Saccharomyces cerevisiae S288C: one gene and its partner. The gene in region 2 interacts genetically with the main gene of each other region. Each region holds a gene or a part of one and is shown on either strand. Other genes may lie near its edges.

Region 1 (3,760 bases), on a different chromosome or scaffold from region 2:
ATCACCAAGAAAATTGCCTCCAAAACTTTCTTTAAAGCTGATTCCTGCCAATTGAAATGGAATCCATTAGGTAATGCTATTTTATGTTTAGCTATTACTGATTTTGATTCCTCAAACAAATCATATTATGGTGAAAACACACTATACTTACTGTCTTTCCAAGGTGTCAACGGGACTTTGGGTGGTAACTCTGTACGTGTTTCTTTAACCACTGGACCTGTCCACGATTTCACTTGGTCGCCAACTTCAAGGCAATTCGGTGTCATCGCTGGTTACATGCCAGCAACCATTTCCTTTTTTGACTTAAGAGGTAATGTTGTCCATTCATTACCTCAACAAGCCAAAAATACCATGCTTTTCTCTCCCTCTGGTCATTACATTCTTATCGCCGGGTTTGGTAATTTACAGGGCTCCGTGGAAATCCTAGATCGTCTCGACAAATTCAAGTGTGTGAGTAAATTTGACGCTACCAACACTTCTGTCTGCAAATGGTCACCGGGTGGAGAATTTATCATGACAGCTACCACTTCACCAAGATTGAGAGTGGATAACGGCGTTAAAATATGGCATGTATCAGGCTCTTTAGTATTTGTTAAAGAGTTCAAGGAGCTTTTGAAGGTAGACTGGAGGTCACCATGTAATTACAAAACTTTGGAAAACAAAGACGAAGCATTTTTCGAGAACCATATCATTAATAACTGGGAACCGCTACCTGATTCGACCACATCTTCACTTGATCCTAAAATATCCAATAAATCAGAATTGCAAATACATTCTAGCGTTCAAGAGTACATAAGTCAACACCCAAGCAGAGAAGCAAGCTCCAATGGAAACGGATCTAAGGCCAAAGCTGGAGGCGCTTATAAACCACCTCACGCAAGAAGAACAGGCGGTGGACGTATTGTCCCCGGAGTTCCTCCTGGTGCAGCAAAGAAGACCATCCCAGGGCTAGTTCCGGGCATGAGTGCCAACAAGGACGCCAACACCAAGAACAGGAGAAGAAGAGCCAATAAAAAGTCAAGTGAAACGTCACCTGATTCTACTCCGGCCCCATCTGCTCCTGCCTCCACAAATGCCCCCACAAACAATAAAGAAACTTCTCCAGAGGAGAAGAAAATAAGATCTTTACTAAAGAAATTAAGGGCTATTGAAACCTTGAAGGAAAGACAGGCCGTCGGTGACAAACTAGAAGATACGCAAGTTCTAAAAATTCAAACTGAAGAAAAAGTGTTGAAAGATTTGGAAAAGTTGGGTTGGAAGGATGAATAAACTAGAAGAAACTGATGTATCCATACAACTGTGTAAATATTAACAACGTCAAATAATACTACTTTGAATTGTTTTTTACTGTTTCCCAGGAGAATTACGCCAACCTCCCCCCTTTCTTTTTTTCCCTTGTTTTATTGTACTTTTCCACATATTTTTTTAACATCAAATAGTAATTGATACATACATAATTAGTGAGCATTTTCCTTATTTTTACGTCTCTTCTTGGCGGATTGCCACCAGCCGCATCTTACAATGTATGCCACGATACCGCCAGGCAATAAATGAATATGGAGTGTCACTTCGGCTCCGTAAGCCGGCGCTGCATCCGCCACCACAGTTTTTTTTAGCGTCGCTGTCGCCGCTTTGCCACAGAAAAAGAAAAAAAAAAAAGAAACGGCGCCGTGTAGGGTTTTGTATAACAGATCGGCCTAGCAGCCAGGAGATGGCACGGCGCCAACTGAAAAGTTAGACTGTGGAATTGCCGTTCACCACACTCGAGTGGCATCTAATAAACTGCCACAGTTGACTCAAGCGGTGCTACCTTCGCAGTTATTGCACACCATGGTAACACATAACACAGTCTTGCATTACAAATGTGGTTCCTCCTACTTGGCGGTGAATTTCTTGAGTCAGCCCGTTATTTTCATATGGTGATGTAAGATTACATACAGTATATATATATAAGGATGATTCTCACACAAACTTTTCCGCTGTTCATCATATTTTGTTTTTGGATTAGTTTCACATTCTGTAGAAATCTTTAAAGACAAGAGAAGAGAAAACAAAGGCGGAGCAATGTCGGAAGGAAGAACGTTTCTGTCACAGTTGAATGTCTTCAACAAGGAGAACTATCAATTTTCTTCTTCTACTACAAAAAAGGAAGTAAGTAACTCGACAGTGGATGCTGACAACGGTGCCTCCGATTTTGAGGCAGGCCAGCAATTTGCTACAGAATTGGACCAAGGTGAAAAGCAGTTAGGTATTTTGTCGTGTATTGGGCTTATCTGTAATAGAATGCTTGGTACCGGTGTTTTCGCCGTTTCCTCGACCATTTACACACTATGTGGGTCTGTGGGGCTTGCATTAATTATGTGGGCAGTTGGCGCCATTATTGCCATTTCTGGGTTATATGTATACATGGAATTCGGTACGGCTATACCGAAAAATGGTGGTGAAAAAAACTACCTGGAGGCTATTTTCAGGAAACCAAAATTCTTCATTACCTGTATGTATGCTGCGTATATTTTCTTCCTAGGTTGGGCTGCTGGTAATTCCATCAATACAGCTATTATGTTTTTAACTGCTGCTGATACTGAAGTGACCAAATGGAATCAAAGAGGTATTGGTGTGGCCGTCGTTTTTTTTGCATTCCTAATTAATTCTCTGAATGTCAAGATTGGTCTATATTTGCAAAACATTTTAGGTATTTTCAAGATTGGTATTGTCCTCTTCATTTCTATTACCGGTTGGGTTGCCCTTGGCGGTGGTCTCAAAGATGGTTATCAATCTCACAACTTTCGTAATGCTTTTGAAGGTACTGAAACCGCCACTGCTTATGGTATTGTTAACGCCTTATATAGTGTTATTTGGTCGTTTGTCGGTTACTCCAATGTTAACTATGCACTTGGTGAAGTTAAGAACCCTGTGAGAACTTTGAAGATTGCTGGTCCTACATCGATGGTCTTCTTGGCTATAATCTACATTTTTGTGAACATTGCTTACTTCGCTGTGGTTCCAAAAGATAAGTTAATTTCTTCAAAATTGATTTTAGCTGCTGACTTCTTCGATATTGTGTTTGGCGGCCAAGCCAAGAGAGCAGCAGCCGCACTGGTCGGGTTGAGTGCCTTAGGAAATGTTCTTTCTGTCATTTTTTCTCAGGGTAGAATTATTCAACAACTAGGACGTGAAGGTGTGTTGCCCTTTTCTAATTTCTTTGCCTCTTCTAAGCCATTCAACTCCCCAATGGTTGGTTTGTTTCAACATTTTATTGTTTGTACAGTAACCATTTTAGCCCCACCTCCAGGTGATGCATATTTGCTAGTCCAAAATTTAATTTCCTACCCAATGAATATTATTAATTTTGCCATTAGCGCGGGTTTGCTTTGGATATACTGGCAACGTAGACAAGGTAAAATTGAATGGAACCCACCAATTAAGGCCGGTGTTTTTGTTACGGGATTTTTCACATTATCCAATTTATACCTGATTATTGCTCCTTACGTTCCACCTTCAAATGGCGAGTCGGTGTATTCAAGCATGCCATACTGGATCCACTGTGTAATTGCTTGGGGTATTTTCTTCTTTGGTGGTGTTTACTACGTTGTTTGGGCCCAATTATTGCCAAGATGGGGCCACTACAAATTGGTTTCCAAGGATGTGCTTGGTGAAGATGGGTTCTGGAGAGTCAAAATTGCCAAAGTTTATGATGACACTATTGGCGATGTCGATACACAAGAAGACGGCGTTATTGAAACGAATATAATCGAACATT
Region 2 (3,100 bases):
GGCGAAAATGTCTATTATTAAAAAAATATTAAGTACTTTACGTGCTTTTTAATATCGTTTTTTATTGATTATGTATCTTTAATGGGTTATTGATTTTTTTTGTTTTCTTTTTATATAGTATATACGCTTGACGTTCCGCGCGATTGTTTGTTATTTATAGTGTCCTTCTTAATTAGATTTTTCGTCGGCGTTATTGTGTACTAAATACAGAGTATCAAGATCTTTGATCTCATTAGTGACTCTTAAGGAAGCGCCAATATTATAAAATGAAACTTGTTTACCCTCTTTCAATTTGCATAGTTGAAATTTGTCATTAGAACTTGAATTAGTTAGTGTGCTAGATTTCACGTTTAGCTGGATAGACAAATAGTCCATGGCCCTACCCACAGGCCACATTTTGTTAATGTATAATGGCATTCTTGTATCCTCCTTGGCTATATCCGTCTCATCACCATCCACCAAGTAACACCAAATGTAAATCCTATTTTGCATAGGAATCTTGGGGTCACCTTTAGCAATTTTCTTGAGATTAGCCAATTGAATTATCTTATTCGACGAGGAACCGAAATTCTTTTTTGATTTGTTATTGCTCTTTCTTTTCTCATTCCTTTGGAAGAACTTAAATATTTTGTCTAATGTCTTTGAGTTCAAAGTAGAGCTCACTTTGGCAGTGTTAGAACCTCTCAAAGGCTCTCTTGTTTCACTTACTCTCTGGATTCTAACACTGGCCCTCTCAGGTAACAGACTCTTGAAATATGCTTCATCGTTAGAACTTGAGCCATCCCGGCTTTTGCTAGGACTTTTTTCAGTTTTATGAACTTCTTCATGCTCTAGCAACCACCTACAGTGGTGATCTTCCTTAAGTCTATGGTTCGAGCAGAAATCTTCATTGCAAAACGAACAATGGAAAGGTAGGAAGTCTAGTTGTCTACAATATGCACAGTGCTTTCCTACATCCAACATTCCGGTTTCTTTTTCGATAGCCGCCGACATTCTTAAATATAGCAAAAATTAGTTGATGGTCCTTTTTTTTATATCAAAATTAATGCAAGCTCTTGCAGTAGATGTACACTACAATGTGCCTATAGCTCACTGTTGTCACACTTCCGCCCTAGCTCGAGTCCTTGCTTGTACAAGCTCTTATTACATCTTTATACTCATTTGTAGAACATGCTTTTGCCACCGAAAGGAGGGTGAGGCAGTTTTATGTATATACGAACGTCGCTGGCCACGAGGGGGGAACTTTTCTTTTTATCGGCATGAGATAAAGGGTAGATACGAAATTAGCTAGACATTTAAAATATGAAAGCAAGGAAATTACTAAACTTCGAGATGTTCTTTTCCTTAAACTTCTAGTTGACAGCTCAACATTGATGATAGGGCTTATTGTAGTACCTATTTTATTTGCAATAAAGGGCATAGTAGTTGGCGTGCAAAAGGTAAAGAAAAAGTTTGGAAAGCACTCAAACACAAAGGACCAAAAAGAAGACAAGGACGAAGATAAACGACAAAGTATTTCTCAAAGAAAACAGCATACAGAATGGCCAATAGAGGAGAACCGGATCCAAAGAAGAGCACCGAATCAATCTGCTCTCTGACTAAACCGCAGCTTTATTCATTATATGATGATGACGTCGTGAGATCGGAAGATAACGAAATTTACGAAGAATTGAAACGCTCTGTCTCTATAGATTCTACCAAATATAGTAGAGATCAAACTATTGATTCGACTTTTTACTTGGCCCATAAGGTTGGCGGCTCGCTGCCAAGGAACACAGTATCTTCTAATAATTTGGAAAGGATTTTATCAGCATCATCCATTCACGAAAACTTTCCGTCAAGAACCAGACAAACTCGTCAAAATATTCTTCATTACCTGCAAGCTGTATTAATTTTGTCATTGAGCGGTTTCGCATATCATGAACTGTCCAGAAACTTGCACGATAATCATCTCTTACATCCAGATTTTGCATCGAGACCCCTTCTACTGGGTGTCAAACTTTGTAACTGGCTATCCAATGGGGTTCTGCCAAACTGGTTAGGCTACGGTGTTGAAGGACTGTTATTTGGTTCTGTTGTACCAATTCTGGATAATATTTTTCAAACAGAGGTTGTTAAGAGCTCTGTCCACCATGACAGTTTGACCTCTGTTATTAGAAGTATCAATGCCATGTTGGGAGTCACATTTGGGATCAGGAAAATACAGTGGAACTCCTCTTTGCAGGCGGCAGGGGCATGGGGGCTTCTGAATATTATACTGTGGTTGTTTTTTGACGGCTCAATATCCATGTTAATGAGCTGCATCTGCATTGGGGTGGGTTGTTGTATCTCTTGCTACAAAGATATTATCGACGGTTCCCAATTTTTATATTTCATGGATTTTTATTTCCTTGGTTCTCTAATGTTTGGAAAACTAGGAAGATATCTATATTCTCATTAAAGTCGAAATTCTGACGAGTAAATATTATTAATTAGAAGTACAAGAAGATAACATCAGAATGGCTTATCGTTTATATATAACTAATTAACGTAAACACAGTCAGCCATATGGCTGTAACACTTGACATTTCGAGAAATCACATAATAAGCGTTAAATATAAGAGACCCTTCTCTTTCCCTAAAAAAATATAAAAAAGTACAGGTTGTCTATTTATCTAATGGGTGATTCAGTATACAAACTGGACGACGAAGAGCTGTGGTTCCCCACTGGCGTTGAACTTGTACTACCACCTCCAATAGTACCGTTATTAGACGATGGTGGTCCACTCGATATACTTCCCTCCTTTTGTATCAACGTCGCATTATCTACTACACCAGCGGTTGAGGCAGTTGACGGACAAGTGCTTATCCTTCTTTTTATTATATCTTCTCGTAGTTTGCTGGGATTTGTTAATGGCAGGTTATTCTTTCCATAGTTTATTGGATCATTGTTTTGAATGCCAGCTTTCTGCAAAGCGTAATCACCACTGTCGAAATATTTTCTTTTCTGCATGGTATGCTTAAAAATATCTTTCTTTGATGGCAGCTTTCCGTACATTTTGTATAGCTTCATTTCGTTGGGCGAGAATTTGCTGGTATCAATAGTTCCGCTTTCGCCGTT

Evidence for each region. A genetic interaction does not mean that the proteins touch.
Region 1: mutations in NSG2 (region 2) and MUP1 together harm fitness more than expected from each alone (negative genetic interaction), as found in Saccharomyces cerevisiae (2 studies listed by BioGRID).

Annotation. Positions count from the first base shown.
Region 1 is NC_001139.9:597,353-601,112, forward strand, and holds the start of MUP1 (Mup1p), read left to right. Parts: upstream 1-2,064; coding exon 2,065-3,760. Other genes in the region: YGR054W (translation initiation factor 2A), read left to right, coding at 1-1,269. UniProt on the Saccharomyces cerevisiae protein: High affinity permease for methionine.
Region 2 is NC_001146.8:340,409-343,508, reverse strand, and holds NSG2 (Nsg2p), read left to right. Parts: upstream 1-1,540; coding exon 1,541-2,440; downstream 2,441-3,100. Other genes in the region: CUZ1 (Cuz1p), read right to left, coding at 169-993; YNL155C-A (uncharacterized protein), read left to right, coding at 1,374-1,598; IGO1 (phosphatase regulator), read right to left, coding at 2,651-3,100. UniProt on the Saccharomyces cerevisiae protein: Stabilizes the HMG-CoA reductase HMG2 by preventing its HRD1-dependent degradation. Binds directly to the sterol-sensing domain (SSD)-containing transmembrane region of HMG2, promoting its folding to protect it from degradation.